6 linked regions of the Sus scrofa genome follow. The protein of the gene in region 2 purifies or fractionates together with the protein of the main gene of each other region. This does not show direct contact. Links are inferred from orthologs where the notes say so. Each region holds a gene or a part of one and is shown on either strand. Other genes may lie near its edges. The genes, in order: XPNPEP3, VIM, SYNC, NES, GAN and SQSTM1.

Evidence for each region.
Region 1: the proteins of VIM (region 2) and XPNPEP3 purify together in Homo sapiens (affinity purification with mass spectrometry; 3 studies listed by BioGRID and IntAct, with this or other methods). This does not show direct contact. The link is inferred for Sus scrofa from reciprocal best matches to the Homo sapiens genes VIM and XPNPEP3.
Region 3: the proteins of VIM (region 2) and SYNC purify together in Homo sapiens (affinity purification with mass spectrometry; 3 studies listed by BioGRID and IntAct, counting the BioPlex papers as one, with this or other methods). This does not show direct contact. The link is inferred for Sus scrofa from reciprocal best matches to the Homo sapiens genes VIM and SYNC.
Region 4: the proteins of VIM (region 2) and NES purify together in Homo sapiens (affinity purification with mass spectrometry; 3 studies listed by BioGRID and IntAct, counting the BioPlex papers as one, with this or other methods). This does not show direct contact. The link is inferred for Sus scrofa from reciprocal best matches to the Homo sapiens genes VIM and NES.
Region 5: the proteins of VIM (region 2) and GAN purify together in Homo sapiens (affinity purification with mass spectrometry; 3 studies listed by BioGRID and IntAct, counting the BioPlex papers as one, with this or other methods). This does not show direct contact. The link is inferred for Sus scrofa from reciprocal best matches to the Homo sapiens genes VIM and GAN.
Region 6: the proteins of VIM (region 2) and SQSTM1 purify together in Homo sapiens (affinity purification with western blotting; 3 studies listed by BioGRID and IntAct, with this or other methods). This does not show direct contact. The link is inferred for Sus scrofa from reciprocal best matches to the Homo sapiens genes VIM and SQSTM1.

The regions. Positions count from the first base shown.
Region 1 is NC_010447.5:7,579,555-7,584,528, reverse strand, and holds the start of XPNPEP3 (probable Xaa-Pro aminopeptidase 3), read left to right. Parts: upstream 1-1,548; 5' UTR 1,549-1,666; coding exon 1,667-1,730; exon of another isoform or gene 1,731-2,031; coding exon of another isoform or gene 2,032-2,047; intron 2,048-4,974. Other genes in the region: ST13 (hsc70-interacting protein), read right to left, coding at 924-1,033. UniProt on the Homo sapiens protein: Catalyzes the removal of a penultimate prolyl residue from the N-termini of peptides, such as Leu-Pro-Ala. Also shows low activity towards peptides with Ala or Ser at the P1 position.
Region 2 is NC_010452.4:43,514,522-43,519,468, forward strand, and holds the start of VIM (vimentin), read left to right. Parts: upstream 1-1,919; 5' UTR 1,920-3,118; coding exon 3,119-3,681; intron 3,682-4,305; coding exon 4,306-4,366; intron 4,367-4,947. UniProt on the Homo sapiens protein: Vimentins are class-III intermediate filaments found in various non-epithelial cells, especially mesenchymal cells. Vimentin is attached to the nucleus, endoplasmic reticulum, and mitochondria, either laterally or terminally.
Region 3 is NC_010448.4:89,008,617-89,013,077, forward strand, and holds part of SYNC (syncoilin), read right to left. Parts: intron 1,645-4,461; coding exon 1,520-1,644; intron 1,350-1,519; coding exon 1,220-1,349; 3' UTR 1-1,219.
Region 4 is NC_010446.5:93,418,297-93,422,627, reverse strand, and holds the end of NES (nestin), read right to left. Parts: coding exon 1,232-4,331; 3' UTR 729-1,231; downstream 1-728. UniProt on the Homo sapiens protein: Required for brain and eye development.
Region 5 is NC_010448.4:6,951,461-6,955,921, forward strand, and holds part of GAN (gigaxonin), read right to left. Parts: intron 2,423-4,461; coding exon 2,205-2,422; intron 1,853-2,204; coding exon 1,731-1,852; intron 1-1,730. UniProt on the Homo sapiens protein: Probable cytoskeletal component that directly or indirectly plays an important role in neurofilament architecture.
Region 6 is NC_010444.4:78,760,667-78,765,886, forward strand, and holds the start of SQSTM1 (sequestosome-1), read right to left. Parts: upstream 3,333-5,220; coding exon 3,014-3,332; intron 904-3,013; coding exon 808-903; intron 321-807; coding exon 91-320; intron 7-90; coding exon 1-6. UniProt on the Homo sapiens protein: Molecular adapter required for selective macroautophagy (aggrephagy) by acting as a bridge between polyubiquitinated proteins and autophagosomes.

The sequences.
Region 1 (4,974 bases), on a different chromosome or scaffold from region 2:
ACCTTTTAGGGCTCACATTGTTTTGCAATGTCGCTATTTATCACTGCGCGGTGCAACTAGTATGTCACCTCTCAAAATTCCTCACGTAGTAGTGAATTTTAAAAATCACTTCGGGAAAGATTTCCCTTTCTCCCTTAAATTCCTCCACAAAACGCAGAATACTAATCTCTATTACACGCTACATATCAAAACGAATTTTTGTATTTATTCATCTGTATCCCTAAATAGATTGTACTTATACTGTTTCCTCGCTAGCATTTGGCACAACGCCTGTTCAGTTAATTCCATGCACGTAGCGACGTACTCTGGAGTTAAAGATAACAAGAACAGATCGTGTTAACACGCGGGTCCTCGAAAAATCATTTTTCTTAAAGTGCCTGAAGTGATGGTACTGCCACTAATCAGATATAAAAAGCGATTCCCAAAATGATTCTACGCCCTTAAAGTCGTTGTAAATGTAATCAAAGCTAGGTATCATTTTTACAACACTTTTAAAGACACAGTGCGTAAGGGAGTTGTTTTGTGTCACTGCGACCTAAGCAGGACACCAGATTTCAAGAAAAACAACTCCACGCGAAAGCCGAGTCTCGCAGCTCGCGCCCCTCCCCCTCACGTCTTCCGTGTCCAAGTCCCCGCAATCGCCTGCATCTCGCCCAAGACACACCCCCGGCGGCCTCCGGGGGCAAGGAACGCAGCTGGGCCTCTGCCTTCCCTGCCTCTCAACTACCTAAGCTCCCCGATCCCCCACTGGACCCTCGAGGGCGCCTAGCTTTCCCGGCCACGGAGCGAGCCACAAAGCGAAGGCGACGCCACTGGCCTCGCCACCGAGCTCCAGGCTCCGCCGCCCCGCGCCAGCTCCCGCCTAGCTCCCCCTCCGGCCGTCCCTCTTCCCACCCCCAACGGTCCTCAGGCCCGGGTCTCACCTCTCCACCCACTCCCTCAGGAAGCGCATTTCCTCGGTGTGCAGAACGCTCGGGTCCTGCTTACACATTTTCACGAAGGCTCGAAGTTCGCTCACTTTGCGGGGGTCCATGGTCCGGGCGCGGCGGGAGGCGGCGGGCTCGGCGGTGGCTGTGGCCCGATTCCAGGCCCGGGCGCTGGCTCAGCGTGGCGTAAAGGGGGCGGCTGCCGCGAGGCAGAACAGACTAGAACCTCCCCGGCCGCTGGCTCCGCCCACCCAACGGTCTCGTGACCCCGGGTCCTTCGCCCGTTCATTCCTGCTCCCTTTACCTCTGCCCTGCGCACTAGCTAGAACATTCTAGAAGTGTGGCTGTTCGTGCGGTGCCTGCCTTTGCACGCACGCATTCTTACAGCCTTAACTCAGAACCACAGCTCTGCATGGTTAAGTCCCCAGCCGTGCTTTCAAGGAGGGCAGGACCTCTCGGCCCCTGCAGGGAGCCATTTAGAACAGGACATTCTGTGAGTGTGGCCACTAAATGTAACACGACGTCATGACGCCCAAAGGGCTCTCCGGCCGGAGCAGTGGTCACAGCTCCGCACGTGACGTCAACATTGGGCGCCGCCGCGGGAGGAAAGCCCGGCGAGCGGCGCCGGCCGGAAGGGGAGGGGCGCTTGGCCGAGGTTTCCTGGCGACGCAGCCCTGCGGGGCGCCGCTTCTACGGCTGTTTTTTTTTCCTTTTCTCCCAGGTCCGTGTGCGTGGCAGTCATGCCTTGGTTGCTCTCAGCAACTAAGCTTGTTCCCGCCGTAGCAAGCGCCCGCAGCCTCTCAGGTTAGACTCACCTCCCACAGTGTCCCCTCCAAGGCTTGCTCGCTGAGAAGCCTGAGGCGCACCAGAGGGAACCACGTCGATCTCGGGAGATTCCTGGTTCGGCGGACCCTTCTCCTGCTGGGGCCTCCACTCCCAGACCCTCTGTGCGCTCCTGGGATTTCTTCTCTACCTGCTGCTTCTGGAAAAGGGTGGGCCTTGTGTTCGCTCTACCGTTGAGGTATTCGGGGAGGTTGAAATGATTGCAGAGAGAAAAGCGTGCCCTGTCTTCCCGCAGGGGCTGTCTTCACAGTAACTTGGACTCATGGAAGTTGTAGCAGGTATCACACTTGCTCAGGTGTCAAAGTGTCTCACATCGAGTGACTCTCGTTTCTATTAAGTGAACGTAAGATTGTATTTTCGTGTTTTCAAAGATTTAACAGCTCCAGAATGGACAAGAAACGAATGTTTGCTAATACAAATTCTTTTGAGTAGTTCCCTGTCAGAGATACTCGTGAGGCTTTTTATGTCTGGAAGCCTTGCTTGTTAAGGCCAGATGGAGTAGTCCGGGAATATGGGGGCCATTTTTTTAGGGTGTACTCTGTCACGAACAATTAAAGTTCTTTGCCTTTACTTGTGACTTTTGCATTTGTTGAGGCTTTGTGTAAAACGTGATTAATCAAGGTTTAGGGCAAGGTACTGTATTTGGTACACACCAAAGTATTCATAATGCTTCGTTTTGCTTCAGCAGTATAAATAACTTTAACCACCTCTTAATGTTAATATAATATACATAGATAGGCTTTTTGAATGAGTGAATGATGAATGATCCTCTTGGATCGTTGCAATTCCAATAAGTTAGAGCAAATACCATTTTACCGATGGGGAACTGAAACTAACACAGTAACAAGTAAGAAGTCAGGAATGTTAGTTGTATGATTGCCATCTAGACCTTTTGCTGTTATACCTCTACTTGGTCTTACTCTGGCTTAGTAGAGCCCTTTTGGAACTTTTTTTTGGGGGGGGGTGTCTTTTTGGAGCCACACCCATGGCATATGGAAGTTCCTAAGCTAGGGGTCTAATCAGAGCTGCAGCTGCCGGCCTATGCCACAGCCACAGCAACTCGGGATCTGATCTGCGTCTGCGACCTACACCACAGCTCACAGCAATGCTGGGTCCCTAATCCACTGAGCAAGGCCAGGGATTGACCCTTCATCCCCATGGATGCTAGTCAGATTCGTTTCTGCTGAGCTACTCCATCTTTTGGAACTTTTTAGTAAGCCAGAAAGAATGTATCTTCAGTTAACAACTTTTTAGTCGTCATTGTGGATGAATCTCCACTTCACTAGAGTTGCTCTCAGTCCAGGTAGATGTTAGAAAAGCAACGGATAAATAAGAATATAGCAAAGGATGATAATAGTGTCTTGACTCAAGTGACATGGGGGCTCAAGCAAGGCAGTAATGGGTTGTAAATATGTTATTCTAGGATTTTATTAAGTTTTAGAAAATTCCGCTGGCTTTTGGTGGTCATAAATAGAACTTTGAATGTCTGTGGTGCTCTTGCTTGTCCTTGTTAGAAAGGCCCTTCTGTGTATTGAGCACCGTAGGGAACTTTCTCTTCTGGGAAATTCAGTGCATTCTCAAAGTGAAAATGTTTTGACTAGCTAATTTGAGTGTGATTTCATTTGTTGTAATCTATAGATATTAACACCATCTAGTCATTTGAGAAAGGGCAAAATGTGGAATGATGCATCAGTTATATATATATATACTTTTTTTTTTTTGTCTTTTTGCTATTTCTTTGGGCTGCTCCCGCGGCATATGGAGGTTCCCAGGCTAGGGGTCGAATCAGAGCTGTAGCTGCTGACCTACACCAGAGCCACAGCAATGTGGGATCCGAGCCGCGTCTGCAACCTACACCACAGCTCACGGCAACGCTGGATCGTTAACCCACTGAGCAAGGGCAGGGACCGAACCCGCAACCTCATGGTTCCTAGTTAGATTCGTTAACCACTGCGCCACGACGGGAACTCCAGTAATTTATATTTAAAAAGACTAGGTCATTTAAGATAAATGTAAGTGTGAGTAAGGAAGGGGAATATTGAAAATATTAAAGATTAAGTAGAAAATGAGTTTAAAAGCCTGTTTGCAGTTTGTTCATGTAACAAACATTGAGAGAGTTCGTGGTGGTGCAGCAGTAGCAACCGGACTCGTGTTTAATCCCTGGCCTTGCTCAGTAGGTTAAGGATTCTGCATTGCTGTGAACTGCTGGTGTAGGTCGCAGACACGGCTCAGATCTGGTGTGGCTGCAGTTGTGGTGTAGGCCAGCAGCTACAGCTCCAGTTCGACCCCTGGACCAGAAACTTCCATGTGCCACAGGTGCAGCCCTAAAAAGCCAAAAAAAAAAAAAAAAAAAAAGAAAACCAAAAAAACCCAGCCTTTAATTGAGCATCACACATGAGCACTGAGCACAAAAAGTTTCTATCATCATAGGAGATAGACGAAAAAGCAAGTAATTATAATATTCTTATGGGGAGAAGGAAAAGGTGTTATTTTCTGGAGGCAGAGAAATATGGTCGTGACTTTAAAAGATTAGGAGATATTTGATGTGAGACTTGAAAGAAAGCTTTCACCAAGCCAACTGGAATAATGGAGCCATCCTGGCGGACATAACATCTAAAGTCACAGAACTCTGTAATAGAAAGACTGGTACAAAGCTTTTAAATCATTAACAAGCACGAAGAAGCTTTTTTGAAGTATGTCTTTTTTTTCTTTTTAATTTTTTGGGGTTTTTTTGGTCTAAAAAGGGCTGCACCCCTGGCATACGGAGGTTTCTAGGCTAGGGGTCGAATCAGAGCTGTAGCTGCCAGCCTACGCCACAGCCACAGCAATGCCAGATCCAAGCCACGTCTGCGACCTACATCACAGCTCACAGCAACGTCAAATCCATAACCCACTGAGCAAGGCCAGGGATTGAACCTCTATATGCCGCAGGCGCGGCCCTAAAAAGACAAAAAAAATAAAAATAAAAGTGGATCGGAGGGCACGTCATTGTGTTCTTAAATTTTCAGACACTGATTTTTGCTTTTGTTGTTGAAAAATTGCGTTTTTTCTTAGTCTTGTTAGTCCCACGTCTGTGAGAACCAATAAAGCCTGCTAAATAGCACATTTTATATAAGTAGCATCTAAAATACTCTAAGCTGGAGTTCCCGTTGTGGCGCAGTGGTTAACGAATCCGACTAGGAACCATGAGGTTGCGGGTTCGATC
Region 2 (4,947 bases):
TTCGTGTGTGTGTATGTTCTCGGGTGTATGTTCATGTGTGTGCATGTGTGTGTGTGTGTGTGTGTGTGTGTGTGCATGTGCGCGCTGTATGGCAAGTACTACGGATTGAATGCTGGTGTCTATCCCTACAATCTATACATTAGAGCCCTAATCTCCAATATGCTGACACTTATAGGTGGGGCCTTTGGAAGGTAATTAGGTTTTAGTTGAGGTCATGAGGGTGGGGCCCTTAGGACAGGATTAGTGTCCTTATAAGAAAAGGAAGTGATCAGAGCTTTTGCCCTCTTTTTTGCCACATGAGGACACAGCAAAAGGTGGCCACCTGCAAACTACCAAACAGACTCTCAGCAGACCCCAGGTCAGCTGGCACCTTGATCTTGGACTTCCTGCCCCCACAGCTGGGAGAAATAAATGTTTGGTGCTTAAGCCACCCAGCCTATGGCAATTTGTTGTAGCAGCCTGAGCTGAGACAGCAAGCACACACACACCCATCCTAAGGATACAGCTTGGGGACAGGTTGCAAAGGAGAAGGGATACCCCCCGAGATGATGATGAGGCCCCAGCGTCCCCCCCAGAGGGAGTCACCCACAGACCTGAGGAATGTGCTTTGGTCACCAACAGGGCACCCTGCCACACCGCACCAGAGCCTTGCCCTCATTTCCCCGTGGTGACTCAGTCAGCAAGCGTCCCCTGACAGCACCAGCGCATTGTCCTGGGATCAGCATTTTAGGTGGGAGGAAGGTCCACCCTCCCTTTCCCCAGAGGGAAACGGCTTTTTCTCATCCGAAGGGTTCCAGGCAAACTCACAATAGTGACATTTGCAGAGCGGAGCTCGCATAAAGGGCTCTCAGAGCATAAGTGGGCCCGCTAGGACGCCACACCCCAGGAATGCGCCTCGGGAGGGACCCGCAGAGCGGGGAGAGAATTAAGGCAATCCACAGCGGGGGAGCGGTACAGCAAGGGGTCCTGCAGCGCGACCTTGGCAGCCCCACCGGCCAGAACGAACTGAAAGGAGGTAAACAAAACACTGCCTAAAAGAGGCTTGTACAAAGAAGTGAAAATAAACCCTTCATTTGGTTCTGAACTATTTTTTCTTAAATGCCAGGCAACCTTCAGGGCCCCCCTTTCCAAAACAAAAACACAAAAGCAGAGGGAAGAATTTTATCTCCCTCCACATCCACCACTGAATCAAGATGTTTCTACTTTTGCAGTGATTTTGGAGTTAATCCGTTCAATACTCAACTCTTCTAAACACTGAAACACCACAACAATAACGACGAAAACCTGTGATTTTTAAATTGCTACGAAATCACTGACAGACTCTCTTCTCTGTTCTGCGCTTTACTCATTCCCAACAAAACCCCTTCAGTTGAGTGATTTACCTAGAAAGATTTTCAGGTTGGAATCTGAACACGCCCTTGTGCCCTGGACCAAAAGTTTTCTCCTTCTGTAGACAGCTTTATCCCCCTCACTCCAAGATGAATTGCAGGAATTCTTCTGGAAAATAGGCTAAGGGACCTGTGACATTTCTCAGACAAGTCACCAGAATCCTGCGCTGTGCATCATGCGTGAACTAAAATGAACACATAAATCTAGTCTCAAACATTCAGTCCCTTGAGTTACATAACTGCCTTTTATTAATCAAATTAAACATTTAAAGCAACATCTACTTAATTCTATAATTGGTGTAGATTATATCTTTAATGTCTCTCACTACAGCAGAAAAAGCAGTGATCACTCAATTGGATTTTGCAACTACAGAGTTTCCTCTTTCACCCAGAAACGTTCAGATCTTGTTAAAAGTCGGGTGCGGTTTTACGGGGGGAGGGGGTGGAGGAAGGCGGAGAGGAGACCGGAGGGGAGGCGGGAGGAAACTTTGCAAGAAAAACCCTCCCCAAGTGCCTTTGTGAGGCCGGAGACCGGCGTTTGGCGGTTACAGAGCCTCCGCGGAAGTTTCTTACTAAAGAGAAGCCAGCATATTGGAGCAAAATCTGGATTGGGCGCGTTCCTAAGAATTTAGGAGCGCTCTAGACTCCAAACCAGCGAACGGCACATAAGAAAGCAGAGCCCAGCTCGAAGTTGGGTAAAACTTAGAACCAACAGTACTCGCACAGTGGCCCGGGGAGACGAAAGTCAATCTCGTCTAACGGTTTTCCTGAACCGCTAGGACTCCTCAACCTCGGTGGCGGGACAGCAGAGCGCAGTGACTCACTGCCAGTGGTGACTCAGCGACCCCACCCATCTCCCCTGGGCTTTCCTTGGCCACTTCCTTGCAGCTCCTTGTCCAAAGCCGGGCCCAGCCGGTTAGGTCCCTGAACAGGAACTCCTACTACAGGAGGACGAGGAAAGTTGGGGCCGGATTGGTCCCGCTGTCCAAGCAGGCGTGCGCAAGGCTGCGCAGAGCCCAGAGCCCTGCGCCCCGGGCTGTGCGCGCCCCCACCTCGCGCTCCAATCTCAGGCCCTCTTTGTTTCTTTCTCCACGCCTTCCGATCTGCTGGATCCCTCACTCCTCTCTTCCGGCTCCTTTACCCGCGGGGCCCCCCCACCCTCGCGCTTCCAGGCGACCGCAGCCAAGGGGCCGCGCGCCCCTCCCACCCGCACGCTTCCTCCTACGCCTCCCTAGCTGGCTGGGTGCCCGGGACCCTTGTGGTTCAGTCTAGGGAGGGCTCCCCCATCACCGCGGGACCCAGCCTTTTTCATCACCCAGAGGTGAGCACACCTCAGGCCATCCTCAGGAAAGCCCCAAAAGTTCCAGTTCAGCCTCCAAGTTACTGGGGGACTGAGCATAGTCCCGGTTGCGGAGGAGGGGGGAGGAGGGAGGCTCCCGGGCTCCCCCGCCCCAAACCCCAGGCCAGCCTTCCCGCCTCTCGCCGGGTCCCCATTGGCTGGCGCACTCCGCCGCCGGGATGGCAGTGGGAGGGAACGCTCCATCCTAAGGCGGTTATAAAAACTGCGCCCTCGGCGGGGTCCCGTCCTCTGCCACTCTTGCTCCGGGGTCCCCGCGCCAGAGACGCAGCAGCGCTCCCTTTGCCCACACCCACCGCTCCCTCGCTCGCCTCTCCTCCCGGAGCCAGTCCGCGCCACCGCAGCCGCCCAGCCCACTGCCACCTCTGCAGCCATGTCCACCAGGACCGTGTCCTCGTCCTCCTACCGCAGAATGTTCGGCGGCCCTGGCACCGCTAGCCGGCCGAGCTCCAGCCGGAGCTACGTGACCACGTCCACCCGTACCTACAGCCTGGGCAGCGCGCTGCGTCCCAGCACCAGCCGCAGCCTCTACACCTCGTCCCCGGGCGGCGTGTACGCCACGCGCTCCTCGGCCGTGCGCCTGCGGAGCAGTGTGCCCGGCGTGCGGCTGCTGCAGGACGCGGTGGACTTCTCGCTGGCCGACGCCATCAACACCGAGTTCAAGAACACCCGCACCAACGAGAAGGTGGAGCTGCAGGAGCTGAATGACCGCTTCGCCAACTACATCGACAAGGTGCGCTTCCTGGAGCAGCAGAACAAGATTCTGCTAGCCGAGCTCGAGCAACTCAAGGGCCAGGGCAAGTCGCGCCTGGGGGACCTCTACGAGGAGGAGATGCGAGAGCTGCGCCGGCAGGTGGACCAGCTCACCAACGACAAGGCCCGCGTCGAGGTGGAGCGCGACAATCTGGCCGAGGACATCATGCGGCTGCGGGAGAAGTAAGACTAAGCGCCCGCGGGGCTTCAGGAGGGCGGCAGAGGGGAACCGAAGCTAACACGCCCTTGGGGATGTGGCTGGGGCGGTGGCTGCCTGGGGTACGCGGTGGGCGGGGGGAGAGCGCTGTGGCTGCTGCGGCGCAGCCCTGCCCTGAACCCAGATCTTGCAAGTTAGCATTTACCCTCTACCCCGACTCATTGCCCAAGAACGACCAAAATTCAGATTTCTTAAAACTACCACTTTGTTGTTACTCGAAGGCTCCTGCAAACGATCAGTGCGATTCCCCCAAACTTTGAGAAAGTTTCCTGGTCCCCTCTGACGGGCTGCTCTTTCCCCAGGAGCGGTGTAGGAAGCGAGACAAAGGGATTGCAGAATCTTCACGGGGGAGTGGGGTGGTGGCATTCGCCTCCCAGGTCATTGTAGCAACTGCGATTGCTTTTTACGCAGCGGCCAGGGTCCCTTTGAGATTTGCCAAAGGCAGCAGTTCTAAAAGCCATAGTCGCCGACTGCCACAGAGGTGGCGCAGCAACTCGGCTGTCTCGCGGCGAAGACGTGGTGGTTGGGTGTGGTCGCCACGCCCCTGGCGGTTTCCCAGTTCCCCTTCGGTTGATGTGCATCTCTTTCAGGTTGCAGGAGGAGACGCTTCAGAGGGAGGAAGCCGAGAGCACTTTGCAGTCTTTCAGACAGGTTTGTAGATTCTCTTCCCACTTGCAGCCACCCGACCCCACCCACCCAACCTACGGGCAGTTCTCAAAGTTACTTAACCCAAGTCTAAATCGTGCAAAACTTCTCGTCTGCTCGCCAAGCCCCCTAGTGGCAGAAAGACCACAGTTGGGAGCTTCTCCGCCTTAAAAACCCTCGAACGATTAAACCGTTCCTTCCATAGGACGTGAATAAAGTCTTTTTGACTTTGTTTCAAGATTTTTTTCCCCCAAGACATGACTTTTTTTTTCCCGTTTCGGTTCTGCAACACACTGATACTCTGATCTCGAACAGTTACAGTTTGATTCAGACTTCGGTTTGCCAAAGTCAAGCTAGCTAACTTTTACAGGGCCACACAAAGCGGAGTTCTGCCCCGTTAGTTTCAAGTGTACAATGTATTGGAGAATTAGAAACTTGGTTTAACTGGACTTAAGCCAGCAAGTTTCTTTTCTTCCATGCAAGTTCTATTGTGGCCTAAGGTTAGATGGAAGTATCCGTGTGCACAACTATTTTGTGATCTAATAAGGGTGAAAAGGAGCCATCTGTCCCCTTGGCTGAAAGGTATT
Region 3 (4,461 bases), on a different chromosome or scaffold from region 2:
TAACATCATTTTCTTCAATTACAATGTTCTGGAAATCTCCCAAACAATAAGTGTAGTCAGTTATGCCTAGATAAAACAGGAGGGAGTTAATGTTGTGGCTCATCAGGTTAAGAACCTGACTAGTATCCATGAGGATGCAGGGTTCTATCCCTAACCTTGCTCAGTGGATTAAAGATCTGGTGTTGCTATGAGCTGTGGCATAGGTTGAAGATGCAGCTCTAATTCGACCCCTACCCAGGGAACTTCCATATGCCATGGGTGCAGCCCTAGAAAACAGAAATCAAAAAAAAGAAAAACAAGTTACCACTGTGGCTCAGCAGGTTAGGGATTTGGCATTGTCTCTGGGGCTGTGCAAGTTTGATCCCTGGCCTGGCACAGTGTGTTAAAGATTCAGCTTTGCCACAGCTTGGCATAGGTCTCAGCTGCTGCTAGGATTTGATCCCTGGCCTGGAAACTTGGATAGGCTGCAGGTGTGGCTAGCAAATAAAAATTAAAACAAAACCCTAGGAAGTTAGGGGAAGTACCAGTTATAATAATTATTTGTGAATTTGTATCTAGGATGTAGGATTACTTAGGGAATTAAAAATTATGGACATTTGGGAGTTACCGCTGTGGTGCAGTGGGTTAAGAATCCAACTGCAAGGAGTTCCCACTGTGGTGCAATGGGATCAGAAAAGAAAAATCTGACTGCAATGGCTTGGGAATTTACATATGCTGGGGTGCGGCCATAAAAAAATTAGGGACATTGATCTAGTATTGAACTTGACAGACCTTTTTTAATCCTTAGTTTCTTTATCCAGGAGAATATGAAGAATAGAGAACATACTGTTAAGTAAAGAAATTAGTGGATAAGTGTTGCTTGTTTAGCAAAGTAAGCAACAGTTATGTACCTTTAGTCTATAAACAACACCCTCTTCAGCTTCTGACACAACTGTTAACAGTTTAATTTAGCCTTTTTTGTCATAGTCTGAATCAGGCAGCATAACTGAGTTAGCAGATGGGGTCAGGTAGGATGAGGAAAGTAGAAATGCACAGAACCTAGATGTTGTATCCTGTTCTAGACTTCCTGATGATAATTCAGGCAAACTTTAAGTCCTGCTAGAAATTGAAACACTCCAAATGAAGCCTGAATGCATTTGCAGGTATATGTTATCCCTAAATGACTTATTTGTCATTAGACACACACTTAGTATTTTTTTAAGGCATTAGTATTTTTAGATTAGGAAAGCAGCAATTCAATGCAAACACCATTCTTGTACCCACAAGGATCACCTTGAGACTGTGTCTCAATTCCACCCGCCTCAGAAGTGGGAGCACTAGCCCGTTCCAGGCTCTTGGGTAGCATAGCCCTTAAAAAAAAGAAAGCCATTTTCCATCTGTCTAAGGGTGAGCACAATTTGAAAATCACTTCTCAAACTACTTTTTTGGCTTTTCACTGTCAAGAGAAATTTCCCCTGAGCAACATCAGCCCTCCCCAACGTTGGGGTTGGTTGAGATTTGGGTAGAAGCAAAAACTGACTTATAAGTTGAGAGCTCTTCAGCAAGGCTGATCCTTAGCTGCTCCATCTCTTTGTTCTTCTGTTGCTGGAGTTGCACCCCACTTTTTAGCTGCCTCTGCCGTTCTTCCATTTCCTCCAGCTGTTCCTGCATGAGAGGATCAAGAACATTTCTGATGAGCCAAACAAGAAAAACCTGACATTGTAATATTACAAAGCACTTTCTTACACATTGTTTAATCTGCAGAGCAGTGTTGAGGTTGACTGACAGATTCATTATCTTAAGAAGCTGTGGGGGGTTTTGGCATGCCCGTGGCACGAGAAAGTTCCCAGGCTAGGAATCAAACCTGAGCCAATGCAATGCAGTGACAAGACCTTAACCCACTGTGCTACAGCCAGCTCCAAAGACATTGTTTTGACATACTATTTTTGAAAGTGGTGACCTAAAAGGCATCTTGCCTGTTTACTACAGCTTTCTTTTTTTTTTTGTCTTTTTAGGGCTGCACCTGCAGCATATGGAAGTTCCCAGGCTAGGGGTCAATTAGAGCTTTAGCTGCCAACCTCTGTCACAGCCACAGCAATACAAGTCCGAGCCACATCTGCAACCTATACCTCAGCTCAGGGCAATGCCAGATCCTTAACCCACTGAGCCGGGCCGGAGATTGAACCCCCGTCCTCATGGATACTAATTGGGTTTGTTACTGCTGAGCCACAGCAGGAACTCCTAATCATGTTATGTTGAAAGAAATCAAGTCTTTGTGTAAGTAATTTTTCTTGAATATTAACTAGAATTTTAGGAAAGTTGTTCTATAACAAGTCCGTTTTTAGAAGATGTTTGAGTTGTTTATTCAAAGGAAAAACGGTAAATATGGTTTTATATTTGAAGCTCCTTTAAGTCAGATATCTTAGTACTTACTATAAGGTGCAAATAGATGCTTTATTATTGAGGATATCATGGTTGTTCATTTTCTATATCCTTTGCTTGCTATGCATAAGGACAGTTGATTCTAAAGTGCTAAGTTGGAAGGTGGAGGTGTTATGTCCTGGAGGCCCTCAGGGGTCCTCACATGACTGCTTCCCATTCTACTGAAACTGGGCAGGATGTGTTCTGTACATTGTCTCTGCCTAGGATTAATACCTGAGGAAAGACCTAAGGAAGATGTCAGCACATCGGTCTCTGGCTTTATAGCTAGCTGACATGGGCCCCCAGGAAGCATTGGGGGAGTTGGGAAGGGAGCACTAGAATTGGAAGATATTTTCATTTTTTTAAATTTGTTTGGTTTTTTTGGTCACACCAAGGATCAAACCCAACCCATAGCAGCAACCCAAGCTGTTGCAGTGTCAACACCAGATCCTTAGCCCACTGCACCTTGTAGGAAATTCTTCAAAATTCTGATTTTGAAGAATAATAACCTAAGAATCCAAGTTTGGGTGCATACTATCATTAAAAGAGCCTAAATAATTCGTTCTTTGAGTAATTCTTGATATATCTGTGGCGTGTCAATCTGCAGTGTTTGATACTCTGGTTGAATCTCAACTTTCTTTTTTTTTTGTCTTTTTTTTTTTTTTTTTTGTCTTTTTTGCCATTGCTTGGGCCGCTCCTGCGGCATATGGAGGTTCCCAGGCTAGGGGTCTAATGGGAGCTGTAGCCACCAGCCTACACCACAGCCACAGCAACGCGGGATCCTTAACCCACTGAGCAAGGCCAGGGATCGAACCCGCAACCTCATGGTTCCTCGTCGGATTCGTTAACCACTGAGCCACGACGGAAACTCCTGAATCTCAACTTTCATCAACATTGGCAAAAGGTCTTTTTTAGTGCCTAACCACATTTCCACACAGATGAGGCCTTAACCACCTACGAGCATGTTCTCTAAAGGAGAGCATCTGCATATCTCTGTGCCCCACTTTCCCAGGCCTCAAAAGTACATGCTTGGGAAGGAGTCTGCCCCATCAATGATAAGCTCTTAACAGAGGATGAAGTATTGTTAGAAGGACAAGCATTAAGGACAGTCTCCAGTCAATCATATGAGGCACCACTAGGTTAACTTCCTAAAACTGCTTTATCATCTCCATCATTTATAGGCTTTCCACTTTCTTTAGTCTGGCATTCAGACCCTCTCTAGTTTGACTAGACCTTCCATTTCTCCTCTGGTTTTCACTGTCCAGTATGGAAGTCACTAGCCACCTCTGTCTACTGAATACTTGAAATAGAGCTAGTCGATGTGCTGTAGTGTAAGATAACCCAGCAGATTTCTAAGACTTGGCATACACACATGAAATGTGTGGGTATACATATAAATGTGAGTGTGTGTATGATACTTCAAATTTTTGTTTTGTCTTTTTAGGGCCACAACCTGCGGCATGTGGAAGTTCCAGGGATGGGGTCGAATTGGAGCAGCATTTGCCAGCCACAGCAAAGTGGGGGCTGAGCCACTCTGCGACCTACACTACAGCTTATAGCAAGGCCGGATCCATAACCCACTGATGGAGGCCAGGGATCGAACCTGCATCTTCATGGATATTAGGTTTGTTACCGCTGAGTCACAACAGGAACTCCTAATGCCTCAGGTTTTAATCATGTTGCAATGATAATATTTTTGATATATTGAGTTAAATAAAATGCATTAATTTCACCTGTTACATTTTTAGTGTGGCTACTAGACATTTTTTTGTTTGTTTTTAATATTATTATTTTTATTTATTTATTTTGTCTTTTTAGGGCCGCACCGTGGCATATGGAAGTTCCCCAGCTAGGGGTCGAATCTGAGCTATAGCTGCTGGCCTGTGCCACAGCCACAGCAACACCAGCCGAGATGGGAACTCCTGTTTTTTTTGTTGAGTTGTATGAGTAGTTTGTGTATTTTGGAGAGTAAACCTTTGTCAGTTGAGGATCCAGCACAGGCCACAAGTGCTGGCCCAGTAATTTCCACATGCCGTGGTGGAAATGAGGTTTTGGGATCGA
Region 4 (4,331 bases), on a different chromosome or scaffold from region 2:
TCTCCCTTTTCAACACGGGAGAAAAGTCCTATTCAGATCTAAGCTGTAGCCCTCCGGCTTCTTCCCTTGGCCTCCCTCCTGCTGTCCCTGCCCTTGGGGGGCCCCCAGGTCACCGGGCCCAGCATCCCGCACTGTGTGGCTGAATCGAGGTTCGAGGTTCAGAGAGGTTAAACACTGACCTGAGGCCACACAGCCCAACTAACGGCAGAAGAGGCCTCCCTCCCGTCCCTCACCCGGCTCTGACCCGCCAGACTGAGCAGACACTAAAGCCAGACAATTGTTTGGGTTTGGGGGAAGGGGGCTTATTATGCTGGCGGCAGTGAGAGCCGGGAGGACAGGCGAGGGTGGGGGTGGCCGAGGGCCTAATCCCTGTAATCAGCGCTGCGGGCAGAGATGATGATGGGCCTGGTCTCTGCCAGCCCCGAGGTCACCTGGGCTGGCCCCTCCCTGTCCCCATCAAGCGCACCGCACCCGCAGCACTCCCCGGTCCCCAGCCCTGCTGCCTGCAGTCTTAATCTGTCTTCCCTTTCTTCCACCCCCCTCACCTCTGCCTCCCAGGCTCTCCCCTGCTCCCCTGCTTAATCTGTCTCCCCCTCCTTCCCCCCTCCCCGTCCACCCCCCCACCTCCCTCCCCGCCTCCCAGGTCCTCCTCTCCCCACCCGCCTCTTCTGCTTCTGTGTCAGCCCTGACCGAAGCCCCCCCTGAATTGAGGAAGGAAGAGTCCAGACTTTGTAAGTGGAGGCAGTACTTTATTCAGGCAGGGATGAGGCAGAGGGGGCCACAACAAGGCAGGAATATGGGGGGATCAGGACACAGGAGCACCCCCTCACCCTCATTAGCCACTAACCAGATGCCGGCCCAAGCCCCGCCCTGTGAAGAAAGGCAGAGCCCCCGCCCCCCTCAGAGATTTTCCAGCTGATGGGAGGAGGGGAAGGGGTGCCCAGAAGAGGGGCCCTAGTTATTGAGATTCAGTTGGCTTCAGCCTCAGGGGACAAGGCAGGCAGGATGGCCCCCTCTGCAGGGTCTGAGGGTCTGAGAGTTTACTCCTGGAGCCTCCATTCGTGGGACAGGTCCCTTTGCCTCACCCATCTCACCTTGGCCAGCCTGGCCTCTGAGACAGAAAGGGCAGGTCAAGAGATCATAGTTAAGGGTGCAGCCCCCTCAGTGGGAGGGGCGCTTGGGGACATCTCCCCCCAACACAAGTCCTCAGTGCCCTAGGGGAGCTCCCTCTCTAGTCCTCCCCTGAGGACCAGGAATCTCCATCTCCCTCTCTCTGAGTGAACGGCAGGAACTGGCTCTGGCCCAGGTGAAGAGGAGCCCCTGCCCAAGGGGTCTTCAGGGCGCCCCCCTCCTCCCCCTCCAAGGGGGTCCCTTGGACCCCCTCCAGGGCCCCTGCTTTCCCCTGCCCCACACCCACAGGCTGCTCCAGCCCATTCACCACCCCCCCATTCACATGCTCCAGCTCTTCCTTCAGGCTGGGGCCCTGGCCATTGACACCAAAAGTGTCCCCTACCTCCAAGGCCATGTCCTCCACCCCACCGAGGGTCTCCAGAGGGCCGGGGATGTGGTCCTGCCTCTCCAAGGGAGCAGCAGCGGACTCTTCCTCTGAGCCCAAGGCCTCAGCGCTGTCCTGGGACCCAGTCTCCAGGGCAGTCATGGGGGCATCGAATGCCACGCCCCTCGAGCCGTCATCCCAGGGGACACTGACATCCACGGCCTCAGACCCCAGGAGGCTCCCTCTCTGAGGGTCACTCAGGGCCGGGAGGCTGCCAGCAGAGGGCCCTGGCCCGCACCGCCCAGCCCCTGGCTTCCTGCCCTCCTCTTCTTCATCTTCTTCCTCTCCTTCCTCCCCGCTCTCCTCATCTGCAAACCCGTCGGACTCCCCATCCCGATCCCAGGCTGCAGGCTCCAGAAGCAGCTGGGGCACCTGGCCCAAAGGTTCTGCCACCTGCCCAGGGACCCCAGGAAGGAGAGACGCCTCCGTCCCTAGGTCCTCAAATTCTTCTGACAGTTCAGAGTCACGGCCACGTTCCTCCTCCTCATCTCCCTCCTCCTCTGAGGGGTGGGCCCCCAGGCCCTCAGGGGCCAGGGCAGCGGGACCCCAGCCTTCCTTCCTGGTCTCCCCTTGAGGGGAGGGCCTCTGCTCTCCAGCCAGGTCCCACTTGGGGGAAGCAGGGGACCTGAGGTAGAAGCCCAGAGGAGTGGAGTCGGGGAGGGTCTCCCCTAGCTCATCGGCCTCACTCTCTTCTCTGCTCTCTTCCTCCTCCTCCTCCTGGAGGCCCTCAGGGATTTCCCCAGAGCCCAAATCCTCCTGCTCCCCCTCAGGGACCTCAGCCCTGCCCTCCAGCCCCCAGCCAGTCTCTTGGGTCCCCTCAGCCAGGCACTGGGGCCCAAGTGCATCTTCAGGGTTTGGGGTGGGTGATGAGGACTCAGCGGGCCTTGGGCTGGGGGGCCCCAGCACGGATTCTGCCTCTTCCTCTGCTCTCTCTGACCCCAGGGGCCTGGGTTGAGGGGCATCACTTCCACTGTGGTGCAAGGTCTCAGTGGGGAAGGCCTCCTCTGCTTCCCCAGGGGCCTCAGGCTTTGATTCCTCCCAGCCGCCCGGAGCCTCCAGCAAGTCTCTCCTCTCGCTGGGCAGTGCAGCGAGCTCTGGCTCCAGAGCAACCGCCTCTGCTAGCTCCTTTCTGGGCCCTTCCAAGCCCTGCACCCTCTTTGCTTCCAAACCTTCTTCTCCCAGGGGTGACTCTGTCACATCCTCTCTGGCCAGGCCACCTGACTCCTCCAGGCTTCCTGCCTCCTGCTCTGGCCCCTGCTCCGCTCCCATGGACTCGGACTCGCCCACAGCAGCCTCCAGCCCCAAGGCGACCTCTGGGGAGGCTTGGCCATCCGCAGGGGGCACATCATCTTCCAACACGGGCTCTATCACCTCTGAGATTCCCTGGGGAGCTCGGAAGCCTGGAGCCCCCTCCTGCCCTGGCCTCTCTTCAGGGTCTTGGAAGCCCTGGGTGCCTCCCTCCCCACTGGCTCCCTCAGCTGGGACGCTCTGCTCTTCGGGCTCAAGGCTCCCTGGCTGCCCCCCACCTGTGCTCCAGGCCTCCCCCGTGGCCTCTCCTGCCTGCTCTCCAGCCTCCCCCTTGCCATCGATGCCATCCTGTTCTCTCTGATCCAGGTCTGCCTTGTCCTCACTGTCCACTCCAGCCTTCCCAGGGGGCGCTTCCTGATCCAGTTCTCGTTGCACCCCGCCCACATCGTCCCACTTCTGTTGATGTGCAGAGGGTGGCGTCGCCTGTTCCTCCTCCTCCAGAGACCTCGGTGGCTCTGGAGTCTCTCTCTTCTCTACGTTCTCTTCCGCTTCCAGGTACCTCTGACTTTCCTTGCCTTCTTCCTCTGGAGATCTCCAATTCTCTAGGTTCCTCTCTCCCAGGGAGCTCAGTGATGCTCGATGCTCCTTTTCTAGGGGGCTCAATGTCTCTTGGTTCCCTTCCCCAGACCCCAGTGGTTCCTGACTTTCCTCTTCTAGACGTTTCGCTATGTCTTGGTTTTCCTCTCCTATAGACTTCAGTGCTTCTAGAGTCTCCGTTTCTGAACATCTCACTGCCTCTATACTCTCTTCATTTAGGGACCTTAATAACGCTTGATTATCTTTTTCTAGAGGTCTATCTATCTCCTGGGCTTTTTCAAGAGATTCTAGTGGCTCTGGTTTCACCTCTTCCAGAGGTCTCAGTGTCACCTGGTCTTCTTCTCCTAGAGACTTCAGTGGCTGTTGAGCTTCTTTTTCTAGAGGTCTCAATGTGTCCTGGTTCTCATCTTCTGGAGACCTCAGTGGCTCCTGATTCTCTTTTTCTGGAGATCCTGTTGTCTCCTGGTCTTCTAGAGACCTCAGTGACTTCTGGTTTTCTTTTTCTAGAGGTCTCAAAGTTTCATGACACTCATCTTCTGGAGCCCACAGGGACTCATGATTCTCTTTTTCTAGAGGTCTTACTGTCTCCTGATCTTCTTCTAGAGACTTCAGTGGCTCTTGACCCTCTTTTGCTAGGGGTCTCAATGCTTCCTGGTTCTCTATGTCTTGAGATCTCAGTGGCTCTTGACTCTCCTTTTCTTGAGCTCTCAATGACTCTTCTAGAGACCTTACTAGAAGGTTCTCCTCTTCTAGAGACGTCACCAATTCTTGATTTTCCTTTCTTGGACATAAAAATGTCTCTTCATTACCTTCAAAAGACCTCAGTGTTTCTTGATTTTCCTTTTCCAGAGATTGCAATGTCTGCGGGTCCTCTTTTTCTACAGGCTTAAGTAGTTCTAGAGTCTCTTTTTCTAGTGATCTCACTACCTCC
Region 5 (4,461 bases), on a different chromosome or scaffold from region 2:
ACGGGAACTCCAAAAGACAATTTCAAACTGACAACTGACTTAACAGAAGTGGGTGGAAAATCTTTCAGTGTGCTGAACAAGAATAGATGCCAACCTAAAAGTTTATACCCAGCAAAAATATCCTTAAAAGATGAAGGCAAAATAATTACATTTTCAGACAAACAAGCAAAAAGAGTTTGCTACCACTAGAATCACATTAAAGGAAATTCAAAAGGATGAACTTCAAAGAGAAGGAAGACGATCCAAGCTGGAAAGTTTGAGTAAGAAGGAAAAACAAAGTGGTAAATATGAGAATGAAGCTAAACAAATACTACCTATACATATGTGTCTAAAACAGAGTAATAAACATATGTATACAGATATTTACACATAAGTAATCATATATTTTGATTCTGTAAAACTGTGGGATGTGAAAAATAGAGTCTAAATGTACTGATTGACTTTTAGACTTTGTTAACCTAACAAAAGAGGCTGTGGTTTCTCAGGTAACCTTCAAAGGAATATAGATAAAGAATATAATTTCTAACTTGGTGGAGAGGGAAAAAAACTGAATGACAAAAAAAGTCAATTAATTCTTTTGAAAAAAGGCAAGAAAAGAAAAAAGAGGAACAGGCTGGACAAAGAGGAACTACTCAATCTGGACACAATTCCTCTCTTCATTGTCTCCCGTTTCTGAAATGCCAATTCCTCTGGTAGGTGTGCACGTGTGAAAATTATACACATGTGTACACATTATGGGAGGAAAATTTAAGGAAGTTAATTCTGAGAAAACACAACAAGGAAATCAGACCCATCTCCTGGTGCCTACACCACTCCATCCTGCTGATTATTACTGATAAAAACTCCAATAACTGTGGAACCTATAAAATGATTCCACTTCTACTCAACAGCTTCAGCCATTTCTAAAATGGGGCACAGTGTGGTGTAACGTAAAACTGTTAAGGTAATGCCAGTGGGCAAATAGAGACCCTAAAAGAAGGACTCCCGGAAGACTGCCGAGAATAACCAGAATGAAGTGGGTGGCACCTGTGGAATGAACCCAAAGGCAGATCCAACGTGAGGAGGAGAAGGACAGCAAGGCTGACCTTTCCATCACCTGCTGGAGTGAAAACTGTGCATAACATGGAGCTCTGCTCAACGTTTTCTGGAGTAAAATAACTTTAAGCCATAAATAATTTAAGTAATATTTTCTCAAGCCTCATAGGAAATGCCTGCTTTTACAGGACACTTTTATTTTGGATATATTTACATGCTGTAATTCTAAGCGCATGAATTTCAAAGATGGGGGACCATCACTGCTCAAAGAAATTCTGCATTTCAGGTATGATCATACAGCCAGCTGGTGGTAAGAGCCACTGAGTCTCAAAAACCGGGGCAAAAATGGGAACAATAAAGACCTCAGGCATTCTTCTTACCATAGTCTTGAAACCTAGAGCTACTTTGAAGATGTCACCACAGGGGGATAATCTGTATCTTTTAATCTTTTAATGCCTGTAAAAGGTTTTGAGTCATTCTGTACAACCCTGAAATTACATACTCCTTTATTTTTTGTTTGTTTGTCTTTGCTGTGCTCGTGGCATGCAGAAGTTGCCAGGCCACGGAGCAAAGCCACGCCACAGCTGTGACCAGAGCCACAGCAGTGACAAGGCTGGATTCTTAACCTGCTGAGCCACTGGGGAACTCCACATTCCTAGATCTTGTGTTAAGTAAAGTTGACCACAGCATGGTACCTGCTGAGAGGACTCCGTGGTTAATTCTCGGCATGCTTAAAGGGGCCAGTTCAATCCAAAGCTGCCTGTTAGGGTCGTAAAGGGGGCACATGCATCGCATCGCCGCTGTTGGCTTCCGTGAACTAAGAAGACAAAGAGTCGATTAGCAGTTCATGTGGCTTGGGGAGCTCTGCTCATAATAACCATGACTAGTTGTACTGCTCTAAAGGATGTTTAAAATATTTGGGCTTTGGCCACGCGGAAGTTCCTGGGCCGAAAACTGAACCTGTGCCACAGCAGCGACCTAAGCTGCTGCAGTGGCTACTCAGGATCCTTAACCCGCTGTGCCGCAAGAGACGTCCCTAACATAGATTTAAAAAATCTATCGGTAACATGCTTTAGATACTGAAACATACTATGAATTCCTGTTTACGCGGAAATCCCTCTTTCCTGACACCGCCACCTCTCTCTGAAACCACGCACGGCCACACTTACACCCGCTCTTCGCCACCGACGGTCACGATGCACTCCGAGTACCCCCGGGGCTTGAAGCTGGCGAGCATGGCCTCGCCCTGCTGCGGCTGGCTGAGCGGGATGTTGCTGCACTCCTTGACGATCTCGCGGACCAACGGCTCACTCAGCATCTGCTCCCGCAAGTAGCTGGAGTCCAACCCTGAAACCCAGAGTGCTGACATGACGTCCTTCATGTGGACCTGAAAGCACGGGCAGGGAAAACGCAAGAGAGCGACAGTTTGCAGAGTTTTACGTCTTCCGAAGCGCGGCAACTAAAATCGCTCAACAGGCAGGTGGTCAGGGCCAGCCCTGGGTGGGGGGGGGCCCGGGAGCCTTTCCCTTCTACCTCCCATGGCTCTGATAAAAAGGCTTAATGTGCAATAGCATCACTCCGGATTTACATGTGATGCACCGCTGTGAAGTTTCAATAATATTATTAATATTATTAATAATACATTGTTTCTATAATATTAATGTGGAGACATTTTCTCTATCTGGTTTACCATATTCTTAACCCACTGAGTGAGGCCAGGGATCAAACCTGCAACCTCAAGGTTACTGGTCGGATTCATCTCCACTGAGCCACAACGGGAACTCCGAATTTTTTTTTTTTCTTTATACAGCTGCACCTGTGGCATAAGGAAATTCTGAGGCTAGGGGTCAAATTGGAGCTGCAGCTGCCAGCCTACACCACAGCCACAGCAACTCAGGATCTGAGCTGCAACTGCAACCTATGCTGCAGCTTTTGGCAATGCAGGATCCTTAACCCACTGATCAAGGCCAGGGATTGAACCTGCATCCTCAGGGATACTAATCAGGTTCTTAACCTGCTAAGCCACAACAGGAACTCCATAATTATGGATTTTAAAAGCCACTCTGGGGAGCTCCCTCAGCAGTTAACAAATGTGACCACGTAGGATCCATGAGGACTCAGGTTTGATCCCTGGCCTTGTTTAGTGGATTAAGGATCCAGCGTTGCTGTGGCTGTGGCGTAGGCCACAGATGCAGCTCGGATCTGGCGTTGCTGTGGCTGTGGCGTAGGTCACAGATGCGGCTCGGATCTGGTGTTGCTGTGGCTGCGGTGTAAGCCAGCTGCTGTAGCTCTGATTCAACCCCTGACATTCGACCTACGGAACTTCCATATGTCGAATGTACAGCCCTAAAAAGGAAAAAATGAAAATAAATAAACTAATTAATTAAATAAAAGCCACTCTGAAACCTAATATATTTCTTTATTTTTAAATACAGTATTTGGAGCTAGTCTCTAATGTACAAATATTAGACTTAAAGCCCTGTCATCTGGCTCCCTCCCCCAACATAGTAACACGGTGGATCATGAGCCTGATACTCCCTAAGACCCTCCCAGACTGTCACTCCCAGAACCCTCCTATTTGGAACTGCACTGCCACAAAAGCTCCCGAGGACTCTCCTGCTTTCTCCTTGGGTGACGCCAATCACTCCAGGGAGCGCCCACGCCCCTCACCCCTCTGCCAGAACGCCTTGTGCCCTTTTCTCACCCCACTCCTGCGTCAGAGCCCCTGCGGGGTTAGCGCGACTCCGTAGCAGGGAAGGACGCTGAACGCTGGGTGGGGTCAGGAGCACACATGGCGCACTTCCGTACCCTTCAGCTTAAGCGTGAAACACAGTTCCCATTAAAAGCAACATGCCGTAGTTCCCACTGTGGTGCAATGAGATCAGAGGCATCTTGGGAGCGCTGGGATGCAGGTTCGATCCCCAGCTCAGCACAGTGGGTTAAGGACCTGGCATTGCCGTGGCTGTGGCTCAGATCCCAACTGTGGCTCAACTCTGATCCCTGGCCTGGGAACTCCATATGCAGCTGGGCAGCCAAAAAAGAGAATAAAAAAAGAGCATTCAAAGGATATTATATTGCTTTTAAGTATTAATACTTGCATTGCTGTGTTGTGGGTTACATGGACCTTGGGAGACTGGTCTGAAAGACCAGCTGCTTTAGTGATCCTACGGGAAGATGTTTCCAGGATATCTTTGAGATCACAACTCTAAACAGTTTTCAAGGTGAAGGAGAAATATAAAACTGCCAGAATTTGGATTAAAAACAAAGAGAAGTTCCCTGGTGGCCTACTGGTTAGGGACCCGGCGTTGTCAGTGCTGCGGCTCAGGTCACTGCTGTGGTGTGGGTTTGATCCCTGGCCATGGGTGAGGCCAAAAATAAAACATCATAAAAAAAATAAACAAACAAATGAATATGTAAGGGGAAAGA
Region 6 (5,220 bases), on a different chromosome or scaffold from region 2:
GAAGCCCTGGAGAGAGAGGGGCAGGGGGCCAGCTTAGGGGGGCTCCTGTCACCCCCACCCATCCTGGGCCCACAGGAAGGACGCACTCACCTCAGAAAGGTGCCCAAAGGGGCTGGGGAAGGCGAGCTTGCTGTGCTCCTTGTGAATGCCCTTCCCCTCGCAGGCAGCGCACAGGTCGTAGTCCGGGCAGACGCTGCACTTGTAGCGGGTCCCCACCACCGGCCCGTTGCAACCATCACAGATCACATTGGGGTGCACCATGTTGCGGGGCACCTCCTGCGCGCACGGGGGGCGGTGGTCCCGCCGGCACTCCTTCTTCTCTGCAGGGAGGGCAGAGAGTCGGGAGACTCGTGAGCCACAGAGAACTCCCCCCACTCCCCCCGCCCCGTCACTACCACGGGGCCATCACAGTCAGCAGGCCCCAGCACCACTCTTCAGACACCAAATCCACAGGAATTCAGTGGTTCAAGTGACCATAACCCAGCAACATGAGACTCTCTGGGAAGTTCCCTGTCTCTGCACCTGGGACCTGGGCATGTGCAGCCTGGCCGGCGTGAGGCAGCAGGGAGTTGCGTCTGCACCATTTTAGACTTGTCCGGCACTAAAATCAACCCCAAAGCTGGCCCGCAGGCACAATAAAGAGGGAACCCAAAGACCCTCTGACCTCCCCACCATGGTGGACACGGACCCTTCCTCAGAGACGATCCCGGCCCTGCCTTAAACGGCCCATAGTCTCCTCACCCCTTCTTTGGAGCAACTTCTCCATGACCTCAAGCTGGTTTGACTCAGCACAGAGCAGCCCCTTACCTTTAATGTAAATACGGAAGATGTCATCCTTCACATACGACATCGCCATCGTCAGTTCCTCGTCACTGGAAAAGGCAACCAAGTCCCCGTCCTCATCTAGAATGTTTAAAAGACAGCGCATCAACACCCAGTTGGACACAAGCTGCTGAAAGGACTGAGGCCAGTGCCAAAGGGGCCTGTGCAGGGCTATAAACTGACGCCCACCTGGGTGAGCCAGGGGCAAGCAGGGCTGGGGCCGAACTTCTCATTCACCCTGCCACTGCCTGGAAGGTGAGCACTCCAAGCTGGGCCCAGGCACACTTGGGAGGTGGAGTGCCTGTGTGCAGTGGGCAGCAGTGGTAGCACCCAGCCACCTGCCACTCTGCCTCTGGGCCAGCTGCTCTGTCAGAAAGGTGCTGTCTCCATCTACATCCAACCAGACCCTGTCAACTGTGGGAGGTCCCCATCTGCAACTGGCTCCTTGGCGTTCCAGCCCCTCCAAAATTCTTGGACCTCTTGTGGCTTAGGAAAGTAGAATATATCTTCCTGCTTCCTCCCCAACGAAGCTAAAATTATGTCTTTGTATGAAGCCTCCAACTTTTAGATGTCAGCTGAAATGATTTAAAGCACCACCACACAGAACCAACCACACAATACATGTGCAAGCCAGGTCAGGTCTATGGACCACCAAACACAACATCTACCATAAAATCAGGGACTGTGTCAAAAAGCAGAAATAGGGAGTTCCCGTTGTGGCTCAGCAGAAATAAACCCGACTAGTATCCATGAGGATGTGGGTTCAATCCCTGGCCTCGCTCAGTGGGTTAAGGATCTGGCGTTGCCATGAGCTGTGGTGTAAGTGGCAGACACAGCTCAGATCTGGTGTTGCTGTGGCTGTGGCGTAGGCCGGCAGCTGCAGCTCTGATTCAACCCTCAGCCTGGGAACTTCCATATGCCTCCGGTGTGACCCTAAAGACAAAAAAAAAAAAAAAAAAAAAAGGCAGAAACAACCTAAACACCCATCAGCTAATGAATGGCTAAACAAGATGTGGCATGACCATAAGACAATATTATTCATCCACAAAAAGGAATTAAGTACTGATACATACTACAACATAAGTAAACCTTGAAAATAGTATGTAAATAAGAGATGCCAGTTACAAGACTACATATTTTTACATGAAATGTCCAGAATAGGGGAATCCATAGAGATTAGGGGTCGCTTGGGGATTGGAGGATAGGATGATGGGGATGGGAGGAAGCTAACAGAGTTGGTGTATAAAGTGATGAAAATGTTCCCAGATGATTGTGATAATGGCTGCGCAAATCTGTGAATATACTAAAAACTCAACACTTTAAACTACAGTATGTGAACAGGAACTCAAAGTTATTTTTTTGAAAAAGCTAGGGGCTGGCGAGCTGGCAGCAGTCCTGAGGGAGGTCCCGGCACGGCCCCACCCACCGGCGGGCCTGGTCCGCCCGCCTCCCTCCCAGTCACAACAACCTCCCCCAACTCCACCCCGCGCAGCCACCGGTCACGCCAGCTCAGCTAGAAACTAGGCAGGCTCGTGAGCTCTGTCCCTACACCAACACTTCTCGAGAATGTTTTCACCTTGTCCCTCTGTCCGCTGCCAACGGGATAACGTCTGGATCCCGCCTGGCCTTGGGCAACCTATGGTCTCTCCTCCCCACCTCCGGCCAGACTGTGCAGCCCTGAGGGCTCCCCACTGCTTATTTACCCTCGTCACTTTTCTGCGTAGCCAGCCCTTCCCCCTCATCTGCCCGCCCAGGCTCTTCCGGGTTACTATCCGAACCCCCCATCTGGGGCTAGCGGGCCCCAGCTGGGCAGTAGCCAAGTGGCAGTGTAACCCGAGTGCCCCTCTAACCACCCCGTGCCCGCCGTGAGGACGCCCCCGCGCGCCCTCCCCAAGATCTGCACCATCATGGTGGGGGGAGGGGAGGCCTCTTACGTCGCCGGGCCCGATCCGCTAGGGGACTGGCAGCGCCTGACCCCACAGGTCTGGCTGTGGTCACCACTCCTGGCTACCAGAATGGCACCCAAGGCCGAAATGGGAACCCACGCGGGCCACCGCCCACCCAACGAGCGATCAAACTCCCGCAGGCGGCCCCAAGCCCCACGAGAAGGAAGGGAGCAGCGACCCTGCCCGGCAGGGCAGCACTGCGTCACGGCCCCGCACCGCTCCCCGAGAGCGCCCGGCCTGCTCACCGCGGTAGTGCGCCTGGAAGCCGCCGGGCCGTAGCACGGGGAACAGGGCGGCCACCCGGCTCAACAGCCGCTCGCAAGGTCCGGGGCCAGCCGCGGCCTCGGCTTCCGCCTCGGGCTCCGGGCTGAAACAGAAGCTGAAGCGGCGAATCTCGCGGGCCGCATCCTCCTTGCCCAGAAGGTAGGCCTTCACGGTGAGCGACGCCATGACCACCAGTTGGGGAGCAAGAGAAGAGCCCGGCGGTGGTAGCGGCGGCGGCGGCGGCAGCGGGAGGGGACGCGCGGCCTTTGTAGGGAACGCGGGTGAAGCCCCGCCCCTCATCGCTTCCTGGGGGCGGGGCCTGAGTGTCAGAGGTCTGGCTCCAGCCACCCCGGCCGTCGCGCGAGAGCCGCCCTACAGGAGCCCCAGCCTCGCTACCTCTCCCCGCCGTTGAGCCCCCTCATTCCCGACCCCTCTCCTCACCGCCCCAAGTGCACCAGGGACACCAAGAGGCCGGCCCCGCACGCTGACATCTAAGTCTGGCGCCTACCTCTATACCTGGGGCAAGGGACCGGCCAGGGTCCCGCCCTAGACCCCTCCCAGGCCTGACCAGGCCGTGACTCAGCAAAACGGAACCCAGGCCACCGGGGATGCACAGCTCAGGAGGGAGGTGGGCAACAGAGGCTGGAAGCCAGGAAGAGGGGACACTGCTGACACTGCTAGCTACAACAAATTGGCTCCCGAGGCGCTGTCTTGACCTTGCCACTCTTGTCAAGGGCCCGCTCTTGCCACCAGTTTCTCAGGTGGCAGCCCACTACGCCGCCCCCAGCATCCCCCCTAATGGCCCTTTACTGGGTTAAAGCACAGACACTCAACTCAAACCTGAGCACCAGAGGAGCTTCCAGTTTAATAGGGGGTAGGGTTGAGAGATGCCAGAAGAGCACAGGATCTTCCCATCCCCACCTTGCTGGGGGGTCTGCTAAGGCTTCCTGGAGCCTCAGTGGCCACCAAATGTTCACTGAAGCCCTAAGGACTCCCCATCGGTACTCCCCATCCATCCCCACTTGTCAGCTCAAGGTTCAGCTCAGCAAATGGTGCCCAATGGCCTGAAAGATCTCAGGTCTGTTGGCCTCATGGGCAGCCCAGGGATTACATCAACAGCCCCCACCCTACCCCACCCCCAGGAGCCAAGAAACACTCTTTTATGTAACCGAAGTGACCTGTTCAAAGTGCCTAGGGGAAGGGGGTTGTTGGGGGAGGAGGTGCCTTAGAAGAAGGTAAGCAGGCGGGTATGTCACCCTATGAATCCTCCCAAGTAGGGCTCTGTAGGTAGAAAGTCAGACCTGCTGAGTCACACTCACTTTTTTCATGGTGGGGTTTGTGGAAGTCAGTAAAACTTAAAGGGATGGGAGTTCCCATCGTGGCTCAGCGGAAACAAATCTGACTAGCATCATGAGGACGCAGGTTTGATCCCTGGCCTTGCTCAGTGGGTTAACAATCTGGTGTTGCCCTGAGCTATGGTGTAAATTGCAGACTAGCCTCAGATCCTGGGTTGCTGCGGCTGTGGTGGAGGCCAGCGGCTACGGCTCTGATTCGACCCCTAGCTTGGGAATCTCCATATGCCTCAGGTGCAGTCCTAAAAAGACAAAAACAAACAAACAAACAAAAAACCTTAAGGGAATGGGAAACCCAGAGACCATGGGGAAGGTAGATTGGGTTTGGCTAGTTTGCTGACTTGCTTGTGGAATCACAGCAGGAACCTAGCCACAGATGTGGCTTGTTCCTCCCAGAGAGTTTCAGAGTAGGTGAGGCTTTGAACCCCTGCCCAAAGCAGGGCTGTGAAGAGGACAGTCACCCTCTCATGATTCTCCCTTCATTCTTGCTGTGAGCCTGGGAAATTTACCCTCCCTGTCCACTGCCCTACAGACAGGGTTAAGGAACACAGAGCAGGCAGTGCTGGGCAGAGGCTGCAACAGCCCACAGGTGCCCCCATATGACTCAGCAACCTGGGAGCCAATCAGCCCTAGGCAGGCCAGGCAGGCCAAGAGCCTGGCATCCTGCATCCTAGAGCTTGATTGTCCCCATCTGCAAGCATGGGGGTGTGCTAGGAAAGCCCCGTGGCTCTGGGGAGCCTCCAGTTTCAGGGAGGTCTCCAGGCACAGTCTCTGTCTAAATAAGTAACTGAGACAGATGCTGCCACCAGCAACACCTTTGCTCTCTTGCCTTTTAG